Linked DNA regions of Mus musculus: all the other regions are reported to be linked to region 5. The links are microRNA targets in miRTarBase. Many come from high-throughput screens and were not tested one by one. Region 5 holds a microRNA gene; each other region holds the end of a gene's coding sequence.

What was found. The annotated mature microRNA mmu-miR-24-3p reads UGGCUCAGUUCAGCAGGAACAG and lies in region 5 at 1,876-1,897, shown strand. An mRNA with a match to its seed (bases 2 to 7 or 8) in the 3' UTR can be bound and repressed. Matches are read on the target gene's strand: a 7mer-m8 pairs with bases 2 to 8, a 7mer-A1 pairs with bases 2 to 7 and ends in A, and an 8mer does both.
Region 1: the mRNA of Sp8 is a reported target of mmu-miR-24-3p. Seed matches in the 3' UTR shown: 7mer-A1 at 2,910-2,916.
Region 2: the mRNA of Pak7 is a reported target of mmu-miR-24-3p. Seed matches in the 3' UTR shown: 7mer-A1 at 2,754-2,760.
Region 3: miRTarBase lists Jph2 as a target of mmu-miR-24-3p. Seed matches in the 3' UTR shown: 7mer-m8 at 2,713-2,719, 7mer-m8 at 2,320-2,326 and 7mer-m8 at 2,226-2,232.
Region 4: the mRNA of Cds2 is a reported target of mmu-miR-24-3p. The part of its 3' UTR that is shown has no 7-base or 8-base seed match.
Region 6: the mRNA of Ldha is a reported target of mmu-miR-24-3p. The part of its 3' UTR that is shown has no 7-base or 8-base seed match.
Region 7: the mRNA of Trappc4 is a reported target of mmu-miR-24-3p. Seed matches in the 3' UTR shown: 7mer-m8 at 3,274-3,280.

What each region holds. Positions count from the first base shown.
Region 1 is chr12:118,849,546-118,853,611 of GRCm38, forward strand. It overlaps Sp8 (trans-acting transcription factor 8), which reads left to right. Exons shown (of 2, transcript NM_001379379.1): 2 at 1-3,033. The coding sequence ends at 327. Among named protein-coding and RNA genes, the nearest start is that of Sp8, 4.3 kb to the left of the region's middle.
Region 2 is chr2:136,079,693-136,083,758 of GRCm38, forward strand. It overlaps Pak7 (p21 (RAC1) activated kinase 7), which reads right to left. Exons shown (of 10, transcript NM_172858.2): 10 at 1,396-3,684. The coding sequence ends at 3,529. Among named protein-coding and RNA genes, the nearest start is that of Lamp5, 24 kb to the left of the region's middle.
Region 3 is chr2:163,334,989-163,339,054 of GRCm38, forward strand. Jph2 (junctophilin 2) reads right to left here. Exons shown (of 6, transcript NM_021566.2): 5 at 3,617-3,711; 6 at 1,254-2,936. The coding sequence ends at 3,631. Among named protein-coding and RNA genes, the nearest start is that of Gm35750, 19 kb to the right of the region's middle.
Region 4 is chr2:132,304,480-132,308,545 of GRCm38, forward strand. It overlaps Cds2 (CDP-diacylglycerol synthase (phosphatidate cytidylyltransferase) 2), which reads left to right. Exons shown (of 13, transcript NM_138651.7): 12 at 374-477; 13 at 674-4,066. The coding sequence ends at 806. Among named protein-coding and RNA genes, the nearest start is that of Gm46766, 43 kb to the left of the region's middle.
Region 5 is chr13:63,299,376-63,303,441 of GRCm38, forward strand. It overlaps Mir24-1 (microRNA 24-1), which reads left to right and starts at 1,833; the gene lies at 1,833-1,900. Aopep (aminopeptidase O) reads left to right here. Exons shown (of 16, transcript NM_001289926.1): 16 at 1-3,502. Mir23b (microRNA 23b) reads left to right here and starts at 1,109; the gene lies at 1,109-1,182. Mir27b (microRNA 27b) reads left to right here and starts at 1,337; the gene lies at 1,337-1,409. It also overlaps Mir3074-1 and a transcript of Fancc not described here.
Region 6 is chr7:46,854,466-46,858,519 of GRCm38, forward strand. It overlaps Ldha (lactate dehydrogenase A), which reads left to right. Exons shown (of 8, transcript NM_010699.2): 8 at 512-1,162. The coding sequence ends at 676. It overlaps Gm39011 (a long non-coding RNA gene), which reads right to left. Exons shown (of 3, transcript XR_882073.3): 3 at 1,162-1,300. Among named protein-coding and RNA genes, the nearest start is that of Gm39011, 4.8 kb to the right of the region's middle.
Region 7 is chr9:44,400,622-44,404,683 of GRCm38, forward strand. It overlaps Trappc4 (trafficking protein particle complex 4), which reads right to left. Exons shown (of 5, transcript NM_021789.2): 4 at 3,713-3,839; 5 at 3,138-3,477. The coding sequence ends at 3,399. It overlaps Slc37a4 (solute carrier family 37 (glucose-6-phosphate transporter), member 4), which reads left to right. Exons shown (of 8, transcript NM_008063.3): 4 at 1-26; 5 at 226-311; 6 at 800-913; 7 at 1,452-1,590; 8 at 1,681-2,345. The coding sequence ends at 1,847. Among named protein-coding and RNA genes, the nearest start is that of Mir7085, 2.2 kb to the left of the region's middle.

The DNA.
Region 1 (4,066 bases), not on the chromosome of region 5:
TGGCACACCGGCGAGCGGCCGTTCGTGTGCAATTGGCTGTTCTGCGGTAAGCGCTTTACGCGCTCCGACGAGCTGCAGCGGCACCTGCGGACCCACACGGGCGAGAAGCGCTTCGCCTGCCCGGTGTGCAACAAACGCTTCATGCGCAGCGACCACCTGAGCAAGCACGTGAAGACACACAGTGGTGGCGGCGGCTCGGCGGGCTCCGGCGGCGGCAAGAAAGGCAGCGACACCGACAGCGAGCACAGCGCGGCGGGAAGCCCTCCTTGCCACTCCCCTGAGCTGTTGCAGCCTCCAGAGCCGGGCCACCGCAACGGCCTGGAGTGACTGTCGCGATGCCTCCCACCTGAATCCCGTCGGGCTTGTGTACCTAGACTGGGCTCCAGTCTAGGCTAGCTGTGCGTTCTTTCCCCCAACTTCTCATTCTCTCTCTCACCGGTTTTCTGCTCTTAACTTTTAGGATGTGGACAGTAAGTAGCACACATCGGTGGCTGAATCCTTGGCTCCCTTCTGCACAGTGACAGCCATGCGGGGCGCAGTGGAAACCCGCTCCTCCAGCACTGGGCTGGCGGAACTTTGAAGAGGCTGTGGCCTCTGGGGTTAGGACGGGATGAATGGGTTGTCTGGTAGAACAGTGGCTTTTGTGGCCTTGGAAAGAACAGTGTTCAACCCGCTTGAGCCGCAGCTGTAGGGAGAGGGATGTAGGAGTCCTGCCAAGGAATCCCCTCCTGGACCCCCGAGTGCTCCCCTTGGACTGTCCTGTGCTGAGCATTACACTCGTGGGAGGACTGCTGCAACCCAGACCGGGTTAGCAGAGTTTAGATCTCCCCATTCAGCTCTGGCTAGGTCTTTGTGCCCTGCGGGTGAACCGATGAGAGTTCTGCGAACGGGAATCAATGCCTCCCCCTCCTTTCTTCTTTGTAACTTTTTATTTTTTAACTGAAAAACTGAGAGGAAAAAAATAAACAAGCAATCTTCCTCTTAGCTTCTCGTTTAGATAGTTTTCCTCTGCTTGCGAGCACGTTTCTCTCCAAACTGCAAATATTGATCCCAAAGTTATTTTGGTCGCCGTAATTTATGGGGTGGGGGCGGGAGTGAGGGTAGGTGTCTTTTCTTATGCAAAAATACCCCCTTTCCGGTGAGACCAGATTAAGTATCTTCGTGTTTGTCTTTTTCTACCTCGGTTTTTTCACCATCCCCAAGCATATTCTTCCAACTTCCCACATCACCACCACTTTTGGGTTAGTCTAGGAATCAATTTATCTACTGATTTCTGTAAATTATTGCAAGTCATTGATTAATTTTAGGGTTAAACTTTTTCTTTGTGATTTAAACTTAAGTGAAGAAGCTATCGTTTATTTCAGATGAGGCTGTAGTTTAAATGCCAAAAGAGGGAAACGGGGAAACAATTTTTAAAAATTCTTTGTAAAATATATCTGAACCTAATGGTTTGTACAACTGGAAAATCGTTCTAGATTAGTTTCCCATTAAACTTGACTCCGCCGCTGTGAGGTGTGAGACGATTTTGTATAGTATTTTTCTTGTACATTACTTCCGGTAAATATTTGAAAATATATTGAAGTAAACTTGATTTTTTTTCTTTTTCGTCAGAAGGAATTATTAAGAGTTATTGCTGAGGTTCTAATGAGCTGCAGGTGTTTTTTTTTTTTTTTTTTTTTTCCTTTTTCTTTTTTCCTTGAACTCAATTCTGGAGGTGCAGAGCCACACACGCACTTTCCGGGCCTAGTTTTGCTCGAATATGAATTTAGATAGGTATCAAGCTGTAACTAAGACACTATTTGATAAATGTTGGATGACATTTAATTTAATGGCGCATGTACTTATTTGCATTTGCTGGCAGTTCAGGTATAGTTAAAGTGAGAGTTCTCCTATACTTCATAATAACGGGGTCTGCCAAACCCATGTATTAAATAAATTGTCCAAGTGATACTCGACTAACTTTGGCCTTTGTGTATTTCCTGAAGGTGATATTGTTAACTGTTGACAAATACTCCTGACACTACATTTAAGTGTTGTTTGCAGAGTCTGCAAACTAACTATTCATTGTCATGTTGAAATAATTTGGATATTTCACATTGAAATGAAAAGCCTTTCTCTGGAACATTAGACTTGCATTTTAAATGCATGAAATGTAATTGATTTATTTGTAATATTTTAAATGGTATTAATAAACTCAAAAAAGACTAGGTCAGTTAATTTGGTGTTTTTCCCCCCCTTTTAAAACTACGGGCATTTGCATTTTATCTTCCGTTTTAATGTCTAATTTAAACAAAATATGACCCTGTTTTTTGTGGCAATATTTAATTATTTGCCTTTAAGATATTATGTAGATGGAAGATCTATTTGGCAAAGCTGTTTCTTTGTTTACCAAGATAAAGATTATAGTGTCTAAGATATGTAATTAATTATTTACCATTAGATTTAGCTCAGCACCAGGATTTATTGACCTCTTAAAACTTGTAGTAATTCACAAACAATTCAAAGAAATTCCATGTTGCTGCTTCCTTCTCAGTCTTCAGAAGGAGTCAGGTTGTTGGCCTTTGATCGAGTTTAGTGTTTGAAAGGCCAAGACTTAGATGAAAGATCAATACATCTAAAATAAAAGCATCATTTGGGGATACCTTCTGTTAGGAGACAGAGGGGGTCAAGCTAACAAAAGCTTGTTTTCTGGCACTCTATGTCTTAGCTAAACATTCTGCAGAGGTAAATATCAGTAGATTCCTGTTGAAATGAGTTATCTGTTCTTTAAAAGTCTCTAAACAGCCACCAAAGAAAAGAAAGGTTAAACCTTAATCTATCTACGAGGCTATTGTTCAAAGGTGTCAATGATGCCAATAAAAAAACATTGTCTTGTTATGTCTAAGTGCATTTAAGCAATGGGTGTTCCTTGAGCCATACTTTGAAACATAGTATACTTTAAATGTTGATTGATGTTATATCAAACTATTTCACTATTAGATTAATATTATTTTGAATCAAACTTAATAAAAAGTTAGTGTGTTGAGATTCTAATAAGTTTAGCTTCTTTCTTTCTGTTTGCATGGTTCTCACTCAGTTCAGTCTTGGTATCCATCTTGAATTGAAAATTTTGCATTGAAACTTATGTAAAATATCATAATGCATAGAAACATGAAAAATAAGAGGGGTTATAAATACTATATAAAGCCTGGGCAAAAGCATTCAGAGATTTATAGTTCAATATGTTATGTAATACAGTTGGTTCCCAAGTAGTAGCCTTTATCAGGATGTTCACTCATACACATATGGGGGCCTCAAGCCCTTATGGTTATAGATAAACAAGTTACCTTTGCTATTTTGGGATACTGTGGCTCTAAAAAAATGGTTACTAAGAAAAATAAAACAGTTTCTGTTACTTTTTTTCCCTAGGAATAATGCAGAACACAGTTTAAGTGTTTCTTTTTTGTTGAAACTTGCAGCAGCTGGGGGATACCGAGAGGCCAGTTCTACAGTTAATGTAGAGGCAGGTAAGAGGACAGCTGCTTGGCATATTTATAGGAATGAATACTTGATTTGAGAGATGGGTTGTGCCAAGGAGGGATACTGTTTGGAAGATGATTTCTTTGGGAGATGCAGAAAGCAGGGCTTATTTTTGTGTCGTAGGTGTTCCAACTTTCACTTTCTTCCTTTAGCTTCCCTCACAGTCTAGCTTGGCTTTAGTTTGTTTTGCTCCAGCAGTATTTTGTTGTTTGTTTCTGTTAGCAGTATTTTTAACTTAGTTTAGTACAGAGCGGGTAGAATCCCCCTTTGGGGACTAACATCATGTCTCTTTGGGAAGGAAGGAAGATGACACACAAAAGGGATTCTTTTCTGTGTAGTCTGATAATGGCTAGAAATTCACTCCCATGAAGCTGGAGTAGCTGTCACTTTGAACCAAAGGACAAGCTTCCGGGCTTGCAGATCAAGGTAGAGTCAAACTAGCTGTTGACCCAGAGGTCAGGCCTGCATGTATCAGCCCATCCTCCGGAGACTGGGAAGGCACTGCGCCCACCCCCCACCCCCTCCCCAAGGGTTGGTGCTATCCAGC
Region 2 (4,066 bases), not on the chromosome of region 5:
TTATGTCCGATTCCATTTACCTACTAAGGCTTTCAAAGAGTCAATTTCACATCAATTCAAAACCAACACATCTCCCTTTGAACTGGATGACTTTGTACAAGAAAAAGAGAGAGCAGCAGGAGGCATGGTAGGGTATACAATATGATATTCTAGTCCCTCTTTCTCCTACATCTCCCCCACATTATGGGGTCTCAGACTGTGGCATGGCCAAATCTATGGGGACTTGTAAGTAGACAACCTTCTGCTTATATATCTAATATGAGATGCTTTTGAAGGAAAGGGGGAAAGATTACCAAAACGCATTTTGGTTCTGCCTGAAGGCTCCAGCCTCTGTTGTTTACAAGAGATGCTATATAGATGATACACTTGTTTACAATTTCAGTGTCACTCTGACCTCTTTTCCTGCAGAAAAGAAGACATCTCTCCCTAAAGTTCCCTCCAATGCACATTGTGGCTACACATCTTACTACTTTAAAAAAATCTCTTACGTGTGTGTGTGTGTGTGTGTGTGTGTGTGTGTGTGTGTGTATGTGTATGTGCACGCGCATACACACATACACACATGCACCATGGTGTCATGCACCATGACACCATGGCATGCATGTGGAGGTAGAGGACAAATTACCAGAGTCAGTTGCCTCTTTGTATCATTTGGTTCCAGGAATGTCACTTAGGTCGCCAGTTCTGGTGGCAAGTATCCTTTCTAGTTGGTCATCTCCCTGTTCTTCATTACATTTTAAAAGTAGTTTAACATGTTCCTTAATTCTTCTCCATGTTCTGCCAGACACAGCCAAGAAAACATAATGCCTCTTTCGTTTACAACAAAGTCTGAGGGCTTGCCAGTGGAAGGTTGCTGCCATCTTTCTCTTTCTTGACATACAATGAACTTATCCCCTCTCATCTTTCTGTCTCAGGTCAGTTCATGAAGGTCACCTTCTAAAATTTCTAGACAAGAAGTGGGCTCTTTGACACAAACATTTTTCTTCAACTTCAAGGGCTGCTCAATGTAGTGATAAAGATACCGAATTCTCTTCTAGAGTATGAGAGCTCCTTCTCTAGCTAAGACTTTTTAGTGAAATTCATTAGTGAAATTGCCTCAAATCAGCTCAACTTCCGTGGGATAAAATGGAGGTCCTTAGTTCTCTTTCTGGTTTTCCTTGAGCCTGATTTCTCAGAATTTAATATTCTTTTCTAAGTAGAGTGTCTGTATCACACTCTTGCACAATTGGTAATTTGGAGGGTAGGAATGCTCATCTTCAGTTTAAAACATCATGATAACTATAGAACGTATGACCACCATGATGACATACATAAACCAATTCATTTGCACCCCTGAGGTCATACACACACCATCCCTATTTACTCAGTAAGACAAAGTCAGAACACAAGTCTCTCCAACAGCACGGTGGGAAAAAGGCAAACACTTACTTTATTTGTGGTGCAGCTTCTGCCAATGCTCACTGCTCACAGATTCCTTTAAGCTACAGTAACATTTAGTAAACTCACCAAATACTGTAAAAAAATGCCCAATGATAAGAAAATTACAGAAAAAAAATTTTTTTCCATTACACCGTCGAAATTTGTTTGAGTCCAAAATCTGTTATTTCTGCAGAGTTTGCAATGAATTTTTCAATGTTGATTCTGGTTTAAAATGATTCTGGTTTACTCTCTTTCCTCCCCTACATAGTCCTGGTTGAATTATGACACTTTTTTGTGACATTTTAGGACTACCATTTTGGGAATTGAGATTGCCGTTACTCTCACATATTTGTATTAAGATCTTAACAGTTTTCATAAAACATTGATCTTCTGTGTTTTATAAAACAAAGTTATAGATTCTATTTATTGTAGAGCATTTCCAGTTTGGGGAAAAATTGAACAGCTAATCAGCAGAAGGTCATTTTATGCCTTTTTTCCTTTTAAATTAAAATAAATAATTATCAACCTATTAATTACAAAAAATTCTTAATTATGCTTAGAGCAACCAGAGTATCTTCACAAATATATTTTCATATTTGTTACAGTATGCAAAGTCATTAAATAAAGCCTCTGGTTTTCCAGTTTGGTAACAAATGGCTTTTGTCTGATGCATAATTAATAGAAACTAATGATGACTATGTAGCGCTTCCAGAGTTTTAAAGGCAAATCTATACTGGCCTACAGTTAACATGCAAATTCATCCAACAAGCAACACAAAATGTATTGTAGTAGTCATTCATTTTTATCAACATTCAGGAAGATCGAGACAGCAGCACAACTCTCCTTATGTCAGAAACACATTATAACATGGTCACCACTGAAGTTAGACCATACTTGGTAAAGTACCCCCTTGCTAATTCATCCTCTATCATCCGTTCAGACTTTCCGCACAATACATGAATAACAGTGATAAATACTGTGGCATGAAGGTAAATACAGACAAGAGTTTGGTGTGCTAGCATACAAAGTCTTAGAAACAGTGACGGACAAAACCAAACAACTTGCCTTGTTCATTCTCCCTTTGTGAGCCTGGTATTTCCATGGTCTCACTGAAACATTCTACCTGGAGATCTGAGTCCAAAGATCCCAGCGCTAAAATTACTCCCTGGGAGGGAAATTTGGCCACTGAGGATGCCATGCCTATTTGAAGGTGGGCATCAAGGGAAATATCTTGCTCTACAAAAAAAACCAATGGGGTGTTCCCAGAATCCTTGAAGGAAATGTAATTTTTCAAAATACTTAGCATTATCTCAAGGAATCGTTTGGCGATTCTGTGGCTCAAATTTTATTTTGTTATATTTGGCTGGGTAAGCGAAGTGTCCGCACCATCACCATCCCTCCTAACTCTTCTTCCACTACATAAGACACTTGTTAAGATAAGAAAGATATTCTGCTAAAGCTGACGGTGACTGAGGGTCATTTAGTATTCAAAGTTCCTAAAGAATCGTTGGTTCTCTGAAAGGGATAAAAAAGTAGGAAAGGCTTTGTTCAAACTCCTGCTAGTAAACAAGTGTTACTTCAACCGAGACAATGGCTACGTGACATCAAAGTACTATAAATTATCAAAACTATCGTACAGAAAAGTTACAAATTCATTGCAAAATACATTACACTGCTACCATTAAGAAAAAAAGTGCTTTTTATTTTCTTTTCTTCCTTTCTTTATCTTTTTTTTTTTTATTTTGCCAGAAAAGTATTCTTTCAATATAGAAAATCCTATGTGGTACCCTGCATGTGGCTAGGATATATCGTAACGGAGTTTGTACTGAGTCCTTCTGATTTACTGGAAGGGCTGAAAATGTATAATAATGACTTATTAATTAAAGCCATGCTCCAAATGACCATGCCAGCTGTCAGTGGAGAGATGCCTATTATTTAAGACACTAGAAGATGCCCTGGTCTGTCGAACCCTGCCGGTCAGGTCATCACACTGTTCCACCAATCAGCTGGTTTAGAAAGCACAGGTCTTTGCATGTTCTGTGGGTTTCCTCATGTTCTCCTGAATCATTCTCATGTCTTTGCCTAGCTTTGCATCCTGTGTGAATCCTCTCAGTGATGTCTGTATTGTCTCATGAGAGGAACAATGCAAGATGGTGGACCTGCCAATTTTAAGAATGGATGTCCAAGGAGTTCTTGAGCTGTGGCTCTTTGAGAGGGCTCCCTCACCAACATAAGATCTAGGAATCCTCGGAGCATGGAAGAAACCTGCGAAAAGAAACAGACATCATACTGAGGACTAACACAAATGCCAGGCCCACTGTCCTGAAATGATGCCCCAACTAACATCATTGATGACTTCATTGATGACTTCAAATATGTGAAATGAAGGAGAAAGATATGGAAGAAAAAACATACATCATCACTGTAATTGCTTTCAAAGTTTGAAATAATAAGGGTAAAGGATAGAGGAACTATTTATTAAATAAAATAATGATGGTAAGGAATGACAGCAATTGTTGTGTTGGGATTATATCAGTATTGGTTGTACATGTGATAGAGTCAACCAAGACTATGAAATAGTGCTTAGAGGTGCCACCTCTGCTTTCTTCATAGAGAGAAACAAATTTCTCTCAGGTTGGTTGACACG
Region 3 (4,066 bases), not on the chromosome of region 5:
TTCTGCCCTCATTCCCATTGGCACTGACCCTCCTGAGGTGCCCTGCAGCCAACCCTCCTCCTGGGAATCATGAGGGTATAGAGTTTCCACGTCCTCTTCTCCATCCAGAATACATATGTGGTTCAAAGCAGCTCTCCTGTGAGGAGCTATTCTCCATGGTGAAGGAAACAAAGAGAACTGAAGGCACCCACGGGTGTACACAGCCAGTCAGCAGCAGTGCCCGGCAGCCAGGACACTTGATAGCATATGGTGCAGCTCGGGTGGTGACAGGCTCGGTCCTCTTGAGGTCTTCCTGGCTACTAGCTGTGAGGGAACCTTAATGGACATTGCTTGTTCCCATCCAAGCTAGAGAGCCGTCTTCCTCAAAGAACCTGCTGTGGGCAATCCAGGGTAAGCCTGCCTCGTCCCCACCCCCCACCCCAGGTCTCTGAGGAGGCCTTAGTGCTTCCAATCAGACAGCCTGCAGCTGCTTAGTGGATGCTTAAGCCATCTCTATGCCTTCGGGGCTCCTGGAGTCTCTACATCAAAATGCAAGAGGGCATTATCATACATAACACTGTGCAAGCGAGCCAGGAGATAAATATTTCTCAGCAGCTTTCTGTAGCTGGGTGTGGTGTGTGTGTGTGTGTGTGTGTGTGTGTGTGTGTGTGTGCAGTGCATTTACCTTGTGGGTCACACAGATGCCAGGGGTTGGCATCAAGATGTCTACCTCAGTTGCCTCTCCATCCCATTTTTTGAGACAGAGTCCCTCATTCAACGTGGAATATACCGTTTCCGCTAAGCTAACTGGCCAGCAACCCCAGGAGATGGCGTTACAGGTGCACATCACCACGTTCCACTTTTGTGTAGATTCCGTTGCTCCAGACTCAGGTCTTCATGCTTGTATAGCACCTTACCCACGGAGCCAACCCTCCAGGCCCTTCCAGTCCTTAGTGTAACCCTAATGGTAACCCCAGGAGGCAGGCAGGTGGCCCCCATTTTATAGATGGGGCACTATAAATGGAGGCTCCAGACATAAAGGGTCTAAGCCAGGACTGGAGTCCAGAGAGCCTCAAGGAGCAGACTCTTAGCTGCTGACGTAGGCTGAACAGAGCAGCTTTTGGAAAAAGACTACGAGAGATGTGTGCATGGTCCTGGAGCATCTTTTGAAAGAGAATGTGAAGTGGTAGGACTGGCCATCTCCCAGCCTCTCCTCGTGTCCTTCGCCCAGCTGCCCTCATCCCTCATCCGGGATCCACAAGCAGACACCACAGTGCAGTTGAACCTGTGAGCAGATGCGGATTTATTTTGGCACAGACTTGGCATCCTGAACCCATCCCCCCACCCCCAAACAGCTCTGATAGCTCTGACAGTCACAGGCTCGTCCTCGGGGCTGGACTGCACCCAGAGTAGAGCAATGACCTCAGAACCAAGGCCTAGGGCCTGTCACTCCCGAGGAACCTCCGCCCACCCCCTCATTCCCTGGAATCCAGGAAAACCCAACCAGAGGCAAAGTCCTGCCTACACCGGCAGGTACAGGAACATCCGCAGGCTCCTCTCAGTAAAAAAAGCGATTCCAACCAAGCCACCAAGCCCCGGCAGTGCTGAGAGCAGCCAGTGTGACTCTAGAGGAGAGGGTGCCCATGGATTTAGAAGAAAAGGAAGCTGAACCCCAATATCCAGTTCAAGGCTCCCCTGGGAGGGTGCCTGGCTTCCATGCCCAAGCCCGAGAGGTCCAGAGACGTGAAGTCAAAGAGGATCAGCAGCTTCCTCCAGCTCAGCTTGGATGCCATCACCTCCTCTTTCCTAAACTTGGAGGGGCCTGGAAACTCTTTTCTTCCATCCTCCTGGGAATGGGGACCCACTAGTCCTGGGCTGCCATGCTACACCCAGCAAGCCCGAGGGCCCAGACACGCAGTGTGGTGCAAACTTCTTTAAGTGAGGTGCATGCGGGTAAACCTTCTGCCAAGCACGAATCATTGCTGCATGGGCTGCACCCAGCTAGAGCCCAGGTTTGCTCCCCTGCATAACGCGTGTCTCCAGCCTCTGCCAGAGAGTATGCACCAGGGATTCAGCTCTTGACTTCCTCAGACTTCCGTGCCATGCTCCCCCGATCCCACCATGGCTTCGATGGGGGACAGGGATGAGTCAATTCTTAGGATATCACAGTAGCTGTAGCTCTCGGGCCCAGAGCTCCTACACAATGCCCAGGGAACATCCATGACCCTAAATGAACTCCAGCCTCAGGCTCAGACACACTCAAAATCAGGGGCCATCACCAACATGCCTCGCCTTCTTAGCACCCCACCCCAGACCCCTGTAGGTGGCTTCTCAGCCAAAGGCTCAGATGCTCAGGTTCCCCTCCCCCCCCGCACCCCTCCCCCACTGGTCCTAGGGGATACCAACTGGACTAGTTGGAGGATGCGGAACATTGCATGCTGGTATATTCAGCTGGGCTTCTTTGTTTCCTATGCTGCCCTCCAGAACTCTAAGAACCCTGAACAGCATGGGCTGGGGTTGACTGCACTACCCAAGGGACTTGTGAACCTCTCATCCTCCTGGGTGGCCTCAAGCCATCAGCCGGAGGACTAGATTGGGGGCGGGGTAGGGGGAAGAGGGAGAGATCTGTATTAATATCTTGCTTTCCTGATATCTCTCAAAACACACAAAAGCCCAGGGAAGGGTGGCAGGGTGAGGTGGGACAGGGCTGAGAACAGGTGCAGGAGCAAACGGGGCTCAGGGGACCAGGGCTATTCCCTCAGGGCATCCTTTGTACCTCGGGGGTACATTCTCTTCCTCTGGCACTCCGGCACCCAGCATGGGCTCTCTGGAGGCCTCCTTAAATGTCCATGGAGTGGATGTGAGCAAGGTTTTAGGTCCGAAGTCCCATCTTCCTGGGACACCTGCTTGGCACTGCAGAAAGACAGGTCCTGCCATCCTCAGTGGAACTCCTGGCACTGGATGGAGACAACACCAGTCATCAGAAGACGTCCAAGGCTGAGCCACAAGAAGGGCAGGGCTCAAGCCCCTGCTCTGCCTCCCTCCTGTTCCCTGCTGGCCCTCCCATCCTGTCCCTTCCCTGCTGTCTTCTTGGGCACTTGGATTCTTTGGACCCTCAAAGTCCTAAGTGCCTGAAGAAAAGCCCCTCAGGTGCCCAGTAACTTGAAGAACCCCCAGAACTCAGCATCAGACCCTGTGAGGCTAACGCTGCCAGAGACAGAACAAGGACTTCCCCACTCCTGGGCCTGCCTAGAAACTGCTATGCCACACTAAGCCAGGATCAAAGCAGGAGGTCTCTTGAGGAACCTCCTCAGGAGGCAAGATGCAGTGTGGCCAAGCTCCAGACTCAAGTTGTAAGGTTTGTCCCAGCAGCAGGAACATCCTCACACCAGCGAGGGCTACTGTCCTTTAGCCTGAGCCCAAATTCTACCCTAGAAAGGAAACAGAGCCAACTAAGGGCATGTGGAGGGACAGGAAACTGAAGGTGGTGGCGGTTCAACTGGGAGAGATGGGGTTGAGTATTTGGGATGCAAGGAGTATCACACCTGTACACTAGGGGGTGGGCTTTACCTAGCAGCCCAGTACCAAGTACCAAGCCCCACCACCCTGGTTTCCAGGCTGCATCCTCTGGCCATACCTGGTAGATGAGGGTCAAGTCAGGAGGTGAACAAATAGGATAGCCAGGCCGATGTTCAGCAAGATCACCATACAGATGAGGACGGTGTTGGGTACCTGAAGGCATGGAGAAAGTCCGCCTGAGTCCCCACGACCTCTAGACAACCCCAGACCCCCAACAAGATTACAAAGCTGGGCAAAGAAGCCAGGGCTTATGGAAGTTTCTTCCTAAAAACATCCCTGGTTTGTCCACAGTTGGACCCTGCACCCAGGAGAGCAGAAAGAATTCTTGAAACTAATTAACCCAATCTTCCATCTGGAACTGCATCATTCACTTTAAAAGCTAGCTTTTGCTCTTTGCTGCTGAGTTTGGTTCCTGGACCCCATTAGAGGCTGGGGGCTCAAGCTCTGTTGGAATCTTCCTCCACTCTATCCCACCCCAGCCCCCAAACCTCCTGAACCTCCTGAGGTG
Region 4 (4,066 bases), not on the chromosome of region 5:
TAGGGGAACTCTGCCCCACCTGCCTCTCCCATTTCACTCCTGGTCGCCCATCTCTTCCCCGCCCTGCTCCATCAGCTTGCACCCCTCATACCAGGTCACGCCCCTGCACTTACTGTGTGCTTTTCTTTACCCATGTGCTGAATTTGGGGGACAGTAAATGAAAGTGCAAGTATCTGGTTTGCTAGTGCTTCTTTCAACCAGAGACCGCGTTGTAATTTGCAGTCCTGTCCTGTGATCACCTGGGCATTTGGTTGTATGCCTCTGTCCATCACCTTCTCTGCCCAGCAGGGTTTTGGTCATGGGTGGATCCATTAGTCTGGAGTTTGGTTGTTGGTGAGCCCAGGCCCATCCTTCCTTCCTTTTCCTCTAACAGGATTTTGCCAATACCATTCCCGGTCATGGAGGCATCATGGATCGCTTTGACTGCCAGTACCTGATGGCCACCTTTGTCAATGTGTACATCGCCAGCTTTATCAGGTGCGGAACTACTCCACCGGATCCAGATATTCCACCGGATCCAGCTGAGTGGGCTTTGAAAGCATGAGTGTTTACAAATCCTCTGAGGTCTCTCTCCCTCCACTAATAGTGAATCCAGGGCTCATAGCACCCCATGGGTAACTGGGCCAGCGAGGCAGCTGGCCCCTGCTCAGGGGTGCCTTATGTTCTGTTGTAGGGGTCCAAACCCAAGCAAACTGATCCAGCAGTTTCTGACGTTGCGGCCAGATCAGCAGCTTCACATCTTCAACACGCTCAAGTCTCACCTAACTGACAAGGGGATTCTGACATCTGCCTTGGAAGATGAGTAGAGTCCACCTGGGGCCCAGAGAGCTGGAGCAGGATGGAGTGGGGGCCAGTCGCCAAGGCCGCCCAGCTGCTGTGACTTAGATAATGAAAAGCTTCAACTCACCACCGTCATTTTTTTTTCTTTTTCCTTTTTGTGCGTGTGTGGTTTTTAATCTGTATATACTGTCTGTTTATAGTGTGGGCAGTGAGTAAGCTGTAGCTTTGAGTTGCAAAGAAGTCACAGGAAAGAACCATTTGGGTTTCTGAAGTACAAGTATTGAGCAACATGAAGGGCAGTGTTGCCCAGCTCAGGGTGTCTGCTTGGTGGCTCTAACCCCTGCCCATCCAGTTGTTTCTGGGCTGTGCGAGAGATCATACATTGATCTGTGTGTGATGAGTTGAGGGCTTTCCCACCTGCACGGGCCTTCACGGGCTCCACGCTTTTGCTGTCCTTGACACCTCTCGTTGGGGCTTCTGCAGGCATCTCTGTCTGAGAGCAGTGGGGGCTGCCCTCTGTAGAGCTGTGAGAGCAGTGGGGGCTGCCCTCTGTAGAGCTGTGAGAGCAGTGGGGGGCTGCCCTCTGTAGAGCTGTGAGAGCAGTGGGGGGCTGCCCTCTGTAGAGCTGTGAGAGCAGTGGGGGCTGCCCTCTGTAGAGCTGTGAGAGCAGTGGGGGCTGCCCTCTGTAGAGCTGTGAGAGCAGTGGGGGCTGCCCTCTGTAGAGCTGTGAGGGAGAGGCTTTCTGATCAGATGAACATCTGTCCAAGCCAAAATTCTGCAGAGGGCAGGTGAGCTTTGCTTATGTAGTTTGCTTTCACCATATAGACTGAGAGAAGATTTCAGACTTCTTTTTCTCAGAAAGCATGAAGAATTTATGAAGTATGGAAAAGAAGCCCTTACATATTCCAGATGTGTGCAGCAGGGGGCACTGTCCCAGCCCTCTCTGCCCCAGCCAGGCACAGTGGCCTCTAGAGGGTGGTCCTGTAGACCGCACCTTTTAGAGTCGAGGCCTCTGTGGTTGTGCCGCGGGTTTGCTGCTGTGCTGAGTCCTTCTGGGGGAGCCCTAAGAGGTGGGGAGCAGAGGACTTTTGCTCAGACACCCTTTGCCTGGAAGCCCACTTGTGTTGCTGCTGTGTTGTGTATATAGTATTCTCGAGATGAGCGTATGTGTGTCTGTTTAAAAGTCACCTTGTTTCCTACATGATTTTAGTCATACCCAAACGTCCTCAGAATCCCTACATCCTGCTTAGAACTGTGGCCGGCCTAATCTGTCAAGAGGCTTGGCTCTTCAAGACTCAGTGTCCACTTTATCAAATGTGACCGGTGTAGCTGTAGTTTGTACTTTCCTGGGGACCTTCTGCTGGGGTTTGTGTAAGCTGTGATTCTTTCCCTTCCTAATAGGTTGAGCTTGACATGGAAAGGAGCAGTTGGCAGGGAAGGAACTTATTCCCCAAGAGTGGTAACTAACCCACAGCCCTGCTCGGTGTGCCCACCGCTGAGAGGCTGCAGTGACTTCCCCAAGTACCGTGGTCTGTGCTAATTTGTTTTCAGATTAGTCTTCCTGTGGCCTCCAACACTCAGCCAGCCCTCAGAGTGTCCGCTGTGCGCACGGGGGCGGGGCGGGGCGGGCAGCTCCTTGTCTCTCAGCTTTGACTGACTTGTCCGCATTGGGGATTTTTGTTCTCAGCTCCCAGGCCGCACTGAACACAGTGTTGCTGCCTTCAGTTTGGTTCTGGCCATGAGGCCCCTAGTGGGAGCTTTGCCCTTAGGGCTGTCCTCTGACTTGCCCTCAAAGTTCACCAATTCGGCAACTCCATGGAGACGGTCGTGTCACTCTCAGCCCCTGTTGCTATTAAGTCATGTCATGGGCACCCGGAAAAGGAAATACACTGAGGTGTATTTTACAATTGCTCCTTAAGATTCTCAGTGGAGATTAGGAGCAACACTGCACTTCTGATAGAAAAATGGCCTTGGATCACTAAACTAGGTAGAGAAGGGCACACCACACCCCAGCGCCCCAGGAGCCAAAACTCACGCTCGGGCAGCAGCAGCTGAGGCTTGAGGAAGCTGGTGTCCTAAGACACTGAAACCCAGTGCTCATTGGAGCTGCCAGCCACAGGTTTCTATTCTGAGTTCTCCAGTCTTGTGAAAGAGGAGAATTTCCCAGTCAGGTAGCCAGGAGAACAGTGCCACCCTGCGATTGTGCCACCCTGTGATTGTATAGCGTGTTGTTTGTTCCAGTAAGCAGGCAGGCCCAGAGACTGCTTTCTCAGCACCGCACAGATCTCAGTGGGTCACATAACTTGCTTTACACTCATCTTGTTGTGTCAGAAATAAAGTGTTCGTGCTTTTCCTTGTCAGGAGTCCCGTGTTTGTCACTTGTTGTGTGGTTTTATGTTTCCCGCTGTGTGAGCATAAACACTGTGCAGTTTTCCTGCTTGCCAGCCTGTGTGCCATCTGTTCTCACAGCCTCTGAGATGTCTCAGGTGAGAGCCATGGGGTGGAACCATAAAGTCCCCATCTCAAAGTGTGCCTGTGGGACAGGGTTAGTAGCTACTCCCCGAGGCCCCAACCCGGGAAATACTGCAGTGTTCCTTCCTGCAGGCCTTGGAGCCCTGACCAGGCCAGTCCTGGGCACTGCTTAGATGGCTGTTAGCTTAGAACTGGTGAAGTAAAGATTTGGTCCCAGAAACCAGCCTGACATGAGAACAAGCCAGGGTGTCTTCCTGGTGAGTTCTACTCATGGTCGTTCTCAGGAAAACTGTGTTCCCTTTGTGTGTACGTTTCTCACCCCTTAACCACTTCAGTGTCAAAAAAGTTCCCATTGTGTCTTCTGAAAGTGAAGTCCCATAAGGAAGTTGGGAGAGAATGTGCAGGGTGCACACACGCATGTACAAACACACACACACACACACACACACACACACACACACACACACAGAGCCTATTTCACATTCTCAGACTTTTAGTTTCTGCTTTATAACCGCATTTAAAATGTATTCTTAATGTGCTGTAGTGTGTGTGAGCCGGTGTCCAGAGGTGTGAAATATACCATGTAATCTCACACAGGTGGACTGTGGAACCGTTTTTATGGATTTTGCCCCTGCTTGCTTTCATCCTGTAACCTAGCCTGTATTATACAAGAAAACTTGAGCAGGACATTTCAAGAGAATATGTTGGCCTAATTGTTGGGTTGGCTGGGACCTGCTCTGAAGGGATCCCTCAGTTCACCGATTGGCAAGCCAAGGTCAGTCCTTGCTGTTGATGGAGCTGGGAGGAGGAGGGA
Region 5 (4,066 bases):
GTGGACCAGTAATGCAGTTCAGCCACAGGGCGTGGAGTTCTGAGACAGGTGTGGGCTAGTGCGTCTCTTTCATAGTCGCCAGTCATCATCTCTACATCATCCCAGGACATTATCGCTTGCCATGGTGGTACATATGATGTTTACTTTTGTATATGTTTGAAATTTTACATCAATCACTGTGTTACTCTGTTGTTCTCTATGATTACCAATTAATGAATATTTAGAATTGTGTTGCTAATCTTAACCCATTGTCAGACATTAAATTTACATTTTCACATTTCACTTTTATAAAACCCACTTCTGTGTAATGTTTATTTTTCTGAAGAACTACACTGATGAAGGGAAAACATGTTACTATGTATGACCATGTTGTTGCAGAAGAGCTGGGGACCGCCACAGTCAAGCAGGGGAGATAGTGGGCTGGAGTAAGCAGGTACAGCCTGCTAAGCCTGCACACTACAAGCTAGGACGGTGGCCTGTGTGGATAGACAGAGTCGGTCGGGGCGCCTCTTCACTGCCTCCTGCAGACATTTCTCTAGAAACTTGTAAGCTGAGGGATTGTTGGTATGTGGTGTGTGAAGGTCACACAGTAAAGCCACTGTTCCCTTTTTAGGTCCCTAGGCCTTCACTTAGGAAAGCCATAGTCACATAGTGGTCCTAGTGACTCTTCTAAGAGTATTTTTGCCCCCTGAGTGAGCAAATCCTCAACTTGCTAGGTCCCCTATGAGCTCTGTGCTATGCCTCAGCTTATCCAACCAAATGCTTGGTCACAGGCAAGCCAGAGAGATGCTCCCTCCCTACACACCACACCTGCTGTCTGAGGGGCCCAGAGACATCCCAACCCATTCAGTCTGCAATTGGAGAACAGGGTGTGTCCCAGGGTTAAAGGCCACATACTCAGAGCAAGGATGGTCCCTAAGGTATTGGTCTCATAGCTGATAAGTGTGTCCTTTGTCTCCCAGTCCCCTATGCTCCTCTATACAGTGCAGCCAGCGCGCTGAAGGACAGCAGGCTGCACTGCTAGCGTGGTGGGCTCAGAGGCGGTTTGGAGGACACTCAGCACATGTGGATGGGAGTGGTTGGGCATGGTGCTGCCCTCACCTGCTCTGGCTGCTTGGGTTCCTGGCATGCTGATTTGTGACTTGAGATTAAAATCACATTGCCAGGGATTACCACGCAACCATGACCTTGGCTGCTCCTGCAGAACCGTGGCTACTTTCTCTCTGCAGTTTGGAGAACAGAGGCGCCTTGTGGCTCTTTGGAAACAAAAGAAGCCAACAGCCTTCGAAGATGCTCACCAGCCCTTTAATTATGGCCGGCGATGACCTCTCTAACAAGGTGCAGAGCTTAGCTGATTGGTGAACAGTGATTGGTTTCCGCTTTGTTCACAGTGGCTAAGTTCTGCACCTGAAGAGAAGGTGAGATGGGGACAGTTAACTTGCAGCTGCCAGGCAGAGGCCACTGCCTGGTGGTCACTCCAGAGGAGGAGAGACCAGCCTGCCTCAAGGCTGTGTTGTCAAGAGTGCAAACAGCGTGCTGACCACCCTTAAGTGTGTCTACAGAAAATACAGTTCTACTGCTAATTAGTTCACTGTAATGTCAAGTGTATTGGGAGTCACAGAAAACTAAACCCAGGTGCATCAAGGAAACTGAGCCAACCTTGTCTCAGCTGATGCCACACGTGATGGGTGGGGGTGTGGTTCTTTGTCCCTGCTGGGCGTGGTGAACTCTTTCTTGTATTTGCAGTCCAGGTCTCCATGTCTCCACAGTCGCTGGCAAGATGATGCCCAGGGCACGCCAGGAGGCACTGCCCAGCTGTGATTGGACCCGCCCTCCGGTGCCTACTGAGCTGATATCAGTTCTCATTTCACACACTGGCTCAGTTCAGCAGGAACAGGAGTCGAGCCCTTGAGCAAAAAGCCTACCCATCTGTAAGTGCCTGAGGCAGGCCTCCCACGGAGAAGAAGATGAAGGGCCTGAGTGTCTGGTACCAGACCCAACAGCAGTGGTATCCCTCTGTATGTGCTCCCGAGGTGGGGATTTGTAGAGTGCAGAGCTAACCTTGGAAAGTTTGCATTCCCTAGAAGCAGGTAGGGCAGGCGCTGAGCATTTGCCACGTGTTGGGGCAGAGCACACCATGTCACCGCTGCCTTGAGCAGTGAGAATGCCTGTCTGAAGGGCCTTGTCTGTAGAGCCTTTCTGAACCTCTCTGGGCTTCACAGCCCTGCATGGCCTGTGCCGTGACTGTGCACCCCAGACCCAGGATTGTGAGGTGTGGCTTCAGTGTTGCCCCTGTCCTCCCATGAAAAGTTCCCTCTCAAGTGGAGGTCAGAGGCTGGGAGGACTCCTGTTGGAATGGCTGTGGTGACTGGGTAATAAATTTTATTGCTGTTTCCTCCACAGGACAGATCACAGTGAGATTCTCATATACCTTCTCCTAGCCCTGGTGGGGCCAGGACTGCACTGACCCTGGACATCAAAGGGAGGATTATGTGGCTGCTAAGGCCATCAGCCCACAGCAGTGGTTGGTCCATCTTGGGCTTCCAGAGACTGGGCTCCCGTGGCATATATAAAAGGCGGAGCCTCATAAACTGTTGCACCTGGCAGCTGCCTTTGTTCCCAGTCCTAGAGAGACTGAGTCTACACACTGGAATTGAGCTGTGACTTTAAGGCAGTCATTCAATGAAGGACACCCTCCCCTAGGCAGATGGAGAGCCGGTTGCCTGCTTCCTGTGATTGCAAAAACTAGCTGCCATGCTCTGAGACTGCAGAATCATGTGACACCTCCTGTGGCTGGTCCCCAAGGATTCTGCAAAGCCCTTTTGATGTGTTCAGTCAACAGAGCATTCCTGTTTTTGAAAATGCAGGAAAGCCTAAAATGTCTTAATAAAGTACCAGATTTGCTAGTGTTCCAGTTTGCTTCTGAATTTGATGCTCCTTAAAAGCAAAGAAGAACGTGTGTCAGAACAGGCACTTTCCACACACTTCCTACCTCCAGGTAATGTTAATTCTAAAAAGGTTGGAAGTAAAGGGAAATTAGTGTGGCTTGGGACTCTGCTCTCTTCCAAATGTGGAGTTTCAGCCAGCCTGGTACTAGCGGAGTCTCAGAACAAGCTCTAAGCTCTTTCAGTCACTGTCTAGAGAACGGTGCTTGAGACTGAGCCATCAGTGCAGTCACATGAGCCCAGCCAAGGCAGAGCGGTGGACAGAGGAACCAGAAGGAGCATCCCACTGGCTGGCCAGGCTTCTGCACCCAGACCTGCTGGGTGACAAAGGCTCTAGGACAGACTGAGAGGAGCGTCCGCACAGAACCATTGGTTTTCAGAGCCTGGGCTGTAGCAGTGACTGCATTTGGATGGTTGCAGGGGACTTGCAAATGGTTATCTGCTTTGTATACCACAATGGTACAAGTATCAAAGTGTGTTAATTCTACTTAATGTTACCCTGATTTCTGTGAAGACTTGAAATAAATGGCTGAGTCTATGCCTTCCTGCTCTCAGAAGCACTCTGGCCTTGCTTAGAGGTGGACTAAGAACCACACACCCTGTAAGGCCCCTCTGAGAACCTCAGTGGCCCATACCTCCTCTGAACTGGAGAGAGCAGCCAAGCACTGGTTTAGTCTGGTTTTGTTCTTTGTTCTTAGGAACCACTAAAGCAAAACAAAGCTGTCGCCTAAGGTGGGTTTTGTTCAGGGATCAAGTCCCTTGTCCCCATGGGTCACTGAGCCCTGTGCCTGGCTGTGTCTGGCTTGGGTTCTTGCCAATGGGTTTCAGGTAAGTGGAGATCTCACTGGAACCAGATGCCCATTTCACAGCTTTGGTGAAGGATCTGTGGTAGAGCTGTCCTTTGCCACCTCTGGCTGGGTGCAGAGCAAGCCTATCCTCCCCTCTCCTCTAGTCCCCCACCCCAACAAGTTAGGCAGCAGCTCCTGCCACCCATAGCTGCACCAGAGGCCCATGAGGCTGTGGAAGCAGGCTTCCCTCATCTGGCTGAGACCTCTGGAGTCAAGAAAGTGCAGTCTCCATTCTTCCGTGAGCCACCTGACTTCACAGGACACAGAACATTG
Region 6 (4,054 bases), not on the chromosome of region 5:
TGACCTTGAACTTGTGAGGTAGTTGAGGATAGCCCTGAACTCTCTCCTGCCTCTAGCTGGGGTTTCAGGCACGTGCCAAACCTAGCTCTTGCTTTCTTACTGACTTTCTATTTCAGTGCTTTTTTTTTGGTTTATTTTGGTTTTTTCGAGACAGGTTTCTCTGTATAGCCCTGGCTGTCCTGGAACTCACTCTGTAGACCAGACTTGCCTCAAACTCAGAAATCTGCCTGCCTCTGCCTCCCAGGTGCTGGGATTAAAGGCGTGGGCCACCACTGCCAGACTTCACTGTTCATTATTATCATACCTGGACAACTCTGCAATAGAATAGCATTGACACTCAACTTGTTTTATAAGCCAAGCCGTGGTAAAACTTTGAATCCCAGACCTCGGGTGATAGAGGCAGGTAGATCTATCTAAAAGAAGAAGTCTTTATACTTGTAAAGGTCTAAATCCCAAGGAATATTAGGAGGTATGGACAAAATAGATGTAATCTCTGTCATTCTGTGTCCAGGGTCTCTATGGAATCAATGAGGATGTCTTCCTCAGTGTCCCATGTATCCTGGGACAAAATGGAATCTCGGATGTTGTGAAGGTGACACTGACTCCTGAGGAAGAGGCCCGCCTGAAGAAGAGCGCAGACACCCTCTGGGGAATCCAGAAGGAGCTGCAGTTCTAAAGTCTTCCCCGTGTCCTAGCACTTCACTGTCCAGGCTGCAGCAGGGCTTCTAGGCAGACCACACCCTTCTCGTCTGAGCTGTGGTTAGTACAGTGGTGTTGAGATGGTGTGGGGAAACATCTCACTCCCCACAGCTCTGCCCTGCTGCCAAGTGGTACTTGTGTAGTGGTGACCTGGTTAGTGTGACAGTCCCACTGTCTCTGAGACACACTGCCAACTGCAGGCTTCGATTACCCCTGTGAGCCTGCTGCATTGCTGCCCTGCACCAAACATGCCTAGGCCGACGAGTTCCCAGTTAAGTCGTATAACCTGGCTCCAGTGTGTACGTCCATGATGCATATCTTGTGCATAAATGTTGTACAGGATATTTTATATATTATATGTGTCTGTAGTGTGCATTGCAATATTATGTGAGATGTAAGATCTGCATATGGATGATGGAACCAACCACCCAAGTGTCATGCCAAATAAAACCTTGAACAGTGATGGCTCTGCTCTTTTATTAAGATGAAGTTGGGTAGCTGGTCAGTTTGATTTCAGGGTCAGAGGCATGTGGATGGATCTCCTGCCTTTCAGCGAGCCTGGTTACCTAGTTCCAGGACAGCTGGAGCTATGTAGTGACACCTGTATCAAGATTAAAAAAGAAAGTTAAGTTGGTGGCGTGGGGACTGGAGAGATTTAGAGCACTGACTCCTCTCCCAGAGGTCCAATTCCTAGCAATCATCTGGTGGCTGACCTATGCCGTCCGATGCCCTCTTCTGGCTGAAGACAACTACAGTGTACTCAAGAAGCTGATTGAGCTGAAAGACTGAGTTGCTAAGACACAGGGTCCCCAGGACACTCCTCTCAGCACTGGGGAGGTAGAGACCTAGATAGAGCTTGTTGGCTCCTTAGAATTGGTACTCAGGAAATCCAGATCTGACAAGGGCACACTATGACCACATGCAGTTCTTGGAATTGCAGCTCAGGTTTTGTCCATTATGGTGGGAAGCATGCAGGTTCTGAAGGCAGCTGGAAGAACTAACGGGGCCTTGGGTATTGAAACCCCGCCCCCCCCCCCCACACACACACAAAACTTCCTCCAACAAGGTCACCCCTACTGCCACTCCCTAAGAATTCAAGTATGATTCAGGGGGCCATTTTTATTCAAACCACAGTGAGAAACCTTGTCCAGCCTGATAATGGAAATAGACTAACCAAAAAATACCTAGTTACACCATTAGTGTAAATTCATACCAAATAGCTGCTCATTCAATAATACCTAGAGAGACTGGAAAGTCAGCTCAGGATTATGGTCACCTGCTGCTCTTGCAGAAGACCTGGGTTCAATCCCCAGCACCTACGGCGCCATTCATACCTGTATCCCAGAAGATGGACCTACATACAGGTAAAACACCCATACACATTCCCCCCGGCCCCCACAAAATAAACAGTACCTTAAAAAAAAATCTTCTCTTGTCCCAGAACTTATTTCTGAAAAACTCAAATTTTATTACTATTTATTTCAGCTTTATGTTTATGCATACGTGAATGTATAGGGGCTGGCGAGATGGCCCAGCGGTTAAGAGCACTGGCTGCTCTTCCAGAGGTCCTGAGTTCAAATCCCAGCAACCACATGGTGGCTCACAACCATCCGTAATGAGATGACACCCTCTTCTGGTGCGTCTGAAGACAGCTATAGTGTACTTATGTATAATAATAAATAAATCTTTGGACCAGAGCAAGCAGGGACTGAGCAAGTGGAGTTGACTGGAGAGAGCGGAGCCAACCAGAGCCAGAGGTCCTAAAATTCAATTGCCAACCACATGACGGCTCACAACCATCTGTACAGCTACAGTGTACTCAGATACATACAATAAATCTTTTTTTTTTTTAATTTTTTTAAAGATTTATTTATTTATTATATGTAAGTACACTGTAGCTGTCTTCAGACACACCAGAAGAGGGAGTCAGATCTCATTAGGGATGGTTGTGAGCCACCATGTGGTTGCTGGGATTTGAACTCAGGACCTATGGAAGAGCAGTCAGGTGCTCTTACCTGCTGAGCCATCTCGCCAGCCCACAATACATCTTTAAAGTATTTATATATATATAAAACGTTTCACCTGAGATGTCTTCCTAATCGTTTAGTTGGGCAGTGGTGGCCCATGCCTTTAATCCCAGCACTTGGGAGGCAGAGGCAGGTGGATTTCTGAGTTCGAGGCCAGCCTGGTCTACAAAGTGAGTTCCAGGACAGCCAGGGCTACACAGAGAAACCCTGTCTTGAAAAACCAAACCAAATCTTACCAGTTGACCATTAGCAGGCGAACTCCATTACAAAGCAGGCTGACTTCTAAACCGGGCCCCGTGAGAAGGCTCAGCAGGTAAAGGTGTTTACACCCTGATCTGCGTCCAATCCCCAAAGCCCACACAGTTAAAGGAGAACTGATTCCTGCAAGTTGTCCAAACACAAACTTGAGAGCCCTTAGCGCCTCTGTTCCTTTCTTCAGCTGTCCTTAAGGTACTTTGTAACCAACCTAGGCATCCCCGCTACTTTGAGGTCAACTTGACACAAGCTAGTCATTTGTGAAGAGGAACTCAAGAAACCACTTGGATATTTGCCTGGAAGCAAGTCTATAGTGCATCTCCTTCCTATGTAATTGATGTGGGTGGTGTCGACGACGCTGGGTAGGTAGTTCTGGATTGTAAAAGAAACCAGGCTGAGCAAGCCATAGGGAGCAAAGGCCTTTGATTCAGTTCTTTTTGGTTTTTTGTTTGTTTGTTTGTTTGTTTGTTTTTTGTTTTGTTTTGTTTTTGTTTTTCGAGACAGGGTTTCTCTGGGTAGCCCTGGCTGTCCTGGCACTCACTCTGTAGACCAGGCTGGCCTCTTTGATTCAGTTCTTGTGTCTAGGCTTCTGCCTTAAGTTCCAACTATAACTTCCTCCCCAAGCTGTTTTTGCTCATGGTGTTTATCACAGCAGTAGAGAGCTAAGACACCTGCCGTGGTGAAAATTGTACTGGAGAGGGGTTTGTGCAACAAACCAGGGCTACATGGAAAGACCCTGAAATAATCTATTAAAAAACAAAAAACAAAACAAAAAAAGCCCCACAAAACCAATAATGACAACAACAACAAAAAAAAAAGAAGAAGAAGAAAGAAAGAAAGAAAGAAAGAAAGAAAGGAAGAAAGGAAGGAAGGAAGAAGGAAAGAAAGAAAAAGGAAGAAAGAAAGGAAGGAAGGAAGAAGGAAAGAAAGAAAAAGGAAGAAGAAAAAAGAAAAAAAAAGATAGAAAAAAGAAAAGACCTCTTAGCCTGTTCCCTGGTATGATGTAATTGTAAAACTTTATAAACCCTACTCTGCCCAACTTGTGGGCTGAGAGTTCTCTGTGGCAGAGCCTG
Region 7 (4,062 bases), not on the chromosome of region 5:
GGAGCGAGGGCAGTCCGCCCTTGTGGGTAAGATGAGTGTTTAGACAGAGAAGGGTGTACAAACCAGGGGCCAATGCAGGAGATGGGATCTCCACCCTCTCTCCCTTTCTCTACTTCCCCCTTAAGGCTGGGCATCCTTGGAGGTAGGTCTGTACCTTGGGATAACCTCAATGGGAAATCCCTGTTCACTCTTTTCCCTTCCTCCTCCCCACAACTCCCCATGCAGGTAGCTCCTACATCAGTGCCCTCGAGGTCGGAGGCCTTGTAGGAAGCATTGCAGCTGGTTACCTGTCAGACAGGGCCATGGCGAAGGTGAGTGGGCAGGAGGAACTGCGAAGAGAGGCCCTTTGAGGCTTCCTCGCATGGCTGGGCCAGCCAGTGGAGATGGGAGTCCTGGCAAATGAGCTGGTTAGCAGAGGGTAGACGTTGGGTGAGATGGGAGTGTTTCCAGGTTTCTCTTGACCTGCCTTGGTGAGCTTCTCTTTCCCACTGAAGGAGACCCAGAATCTCTCTCCCTAGTTAGTAGGCTTCTCTGCCTCAAGAAAACTAGGGGTGGCAGTGGACTAGGTACAGCTCCCTAGCACGTGTCCCATGCCTGCCCCAAGGTGGAGGAAGGGATGTTGTGGAATTTGGCCTCAGAACACGGAGCAGCTCCCAGGGCCTCCCAGAGCTGTCTGGGTCCAAGAACTGTGACAGATTGCCAAAGACCTGTCAGCAATAGCCCTGCTGTGTCAGAGTCCAGGGGTGGGAGTGTTTTGCCCTGCTTGGAGGGCCTGATATGGCTGTTATTGTATCCATAGGCAGGGCTGTCTCTGTATGGGAACCCTCGTCACGGCCTATTGCTACTCATGATGGCTGGGATGGCAGCATCCATGTTCCTCTTCCGAGTAACGGTGACCAGTGACTCACCCAAGGTAAATAGAGAGCCTGGCTGGCTGAAAGGTACAAGGAGAGGAAGTAAGACATCCTCCTCTGGGCCCGCTCCTTCTCCCTTTGCTTCTGTTTATACCTTATTCTCCCTCTTTGGTACTTTGTGTCTCGCCTCCACTCTGGGCCTGGTTTTCTTCTCTTTCCTCTGCTCTCTAGGATGCTTTCTGGACTCCTGCTCTCCATCCTCTGGCTGAGCTCACAGGCTTTACGGAGCATGAGGTGCCTTAAAGATATCTCTGGTTTTCCTCCTGGTCTGTCGTACTTTTGTTTCACCCTTATCTTGCCCTTAATTAGCCCAGCTTGCACAAAGTCTGAAACAGCCAGCATCCAACTCTGAGGGGTGACTCTATCTCCCCTGTCCTTGTCCACCTAGACCTTTGGGGTTGGCTCATTCACTGTGGGGTGAGAATGGTTCCCGACTATGCCTTGTCTAGTTTGTTCCTGACGGCTAGGCTCTCTTTCTTCAATAGGCACCTATGGACACTCTATAGTTCTCAATGCCCCCTCTCGCTCTTCTTGCAGATCTGGATCCTGGTTTTAGGAGCCGTGTTTGGTTTCTCTTCTTATGGTCCCATTGCCTTGTTTGGAGTCATAGCCAATGAGAGTGCACCTCCCAACTTGTGTGGAACCTCTCATGCTATTGTGGGACTTATGGCCAATGGTAAGTCCTTCACTGCTTTGCTCGGGCCTATTAGAGGCAGAATGCCTCCCAGCTTAACCCTCACATGTGGCTCACTTCTTCTCCCCGCAGTGGGTGGATTTCTGGCTGGCTTACCCTTCAGCACCATTGCCAAGCACTATAGCTGGAGCACAGCCTTCTGGGTGGCAGAAGTGGTTTGTGGAGCCAGCACAGTTGTCTTCTTCTTGCTTCGAAATATCCGCACCAAGATGGGCCGAGTATCCAAGAAGGGAGAGTGAATCGAGTCCTCGCTATGGAGCATCCCCAACTGCAGCCTTACTGGCAGGACACGGAAAGGAGAGCGGCTGCTCTGGCTAACACAGAACCTTTACGTTTCTGTGTCTCCACTGTCTCTCTGAACCTCCATGGTGCTGCAAGTTACCAGTGGCTAATGAGGTCCCGACTCCCATCCCATGCTCTATTTAAAATGATGATGTTTGGTTCTAGACTCCATCAGCTTCTGTTTCTACCTTCTGGCAGACAGGCAACTCCTGAATTCAGAGTGTCTCCTATACCCTTCTTCTTCTCCTAGGTCCTGATCTCCTAGTGAGTATTAATGGCCTGTGGTTTCTGCTGTACCCCAAGGCTTCTTGGCAGGGGGCAAAATTGTTGCCAATACCTCAGTCCCTAAGGGAGGAGAGGAGTCCACCACTCTCATGAATACCCTGGGACAAAAGGGAAGAATATAGAGGGCAAACCGACTTGTATAGATCAATAAAGCTAGATTTGATACTAAACAGTCAGTGGCTCATCCTTTCAAAGGGAGACATAAACTAGACAAAGCTTTTCTTGGGAAAGTGTTCTTACCAGTATCTGTTTTTTCCACCCCCAAAAGGAAAGACTTTTTTTCTCTGGAGTGAAACAGCAGAGGTAATAGATGGACTTTTTTTTTTTTTTTTGGTTTCTCGAGACAGGGTTTCTCTGTGTAGCCCTGGCTGTCCTGGAACTCACTTTGTAGACCAGATTGGCCTCAAACTCAGAAATCCACCTGCCTCTGCCTCCCGAGTGCTGGGATTAAAGGCGTGCGCCACCACGCCCAGCAGATGGACCCTTTTAAGTACAAGCTCGGCATGCAGCTAATGCTGTACACTTACACTAGGTTGCAGGTAGGTTAAATAGGTTTAAGGAAGGGGGCTCTGAAAGCATGGGTCCACACTTAGGCCATTTGTAACTGGCTTGAGAGCTCTGAAACACAGGTATTTTATAATGTGCTAAATTCTGTAAGAGATTAGAACAGAACATACACCGCAGGGTCAGAGATCATACTGAGATAAAATTTAGCTTGATTTCAAGTGCAAGTAAGTAAGTGTCCCATCATCCACCACGGCCACCTCAGGCCCCAGAGAACCAGCAGCTCTGGGGCCGGGCCGCCTCTAAGGCTCAAGAGTCGCTATCCTGCTAGTTTGTCTAATGAACATCGTTTGTCTTGTTTTCTAGAAGATAGTACTTTATATTCACTGAATGCCCTTAGCAATTCTGCCTTCCCCTCCCCTGCCCTTCTCCCAAATGATCAGTTAGGAGAGAAAACACTAAAACAAAGGAATGTTTATTTCAGCATTGCTAAGCCAGTTTCCTCCATAAATAAATCTATACAGAGTAGGACTGTAATATATACAGAGGGGCAGAGAACACAGCATTCGAGCCCAGGATCTGTCACCATCACCAGGCTCAGTGGTCTACCATTTTCAAGTATATTAGCAAGGCTGCTACAACAGGACCCTCACCGAGTAGACACAGCAAAGCCCTCTGGAGCACGTCTCAGAATTTAGGGCGTCCATTCCAGGTTCATCCTATGACCCAGGTCCAAAAGTGCCAGCCTTCTCTGCCACCTCTAGAGCTAGCTTCAGGTTTTGATCAAACAGCTCGCATCTAGGTCAGACCCAGAAGACAAGAAACTGTGAGGGATGAGACTTCCACCACAAGGGTAGAGGCAGAATCGGTAGGAATGACTTGAAGAACGTGAAGCCTACGGAAACCCTGTGTCCTCAAGACAAACAGAGCTGGTCACTGCTGTCTTTCCCTAAAAGCAGTGCTTGGTCACACTTTAAATGACTTGGGAGCTAGCACAAAGCTTTGGCAGAATCTGGTGAATGGGGCTACCTACCTGATAGGCATTTCCAAGGAGTAGAATGGATTCTTGAGGGCAAAGTCTGAGTAAATTTCATAAATTTTTCGGAGAAGAGAATCTATTCCAGCTTGCCTAGGGTCTGCCAGGACCACAAACTTGATCCCTGGAGAAAAGTCAGGAACAGTTACTCAAGGACAGAGAATGCATCAAAAACCATCCTGTATTTTTGCAGCCCCTTCAGTTTTATAAACTACTATCATAAGCCCATTTTTACTTTGTCCTTATTGCCACATAAAGCAGCGAACAAAGGAGGCTAGAGATGGGGTGACTTCACTCTCCCTGGGTGACAGAGTGACCAGATTCAAGATCAGCTGCCATTTTCAGAC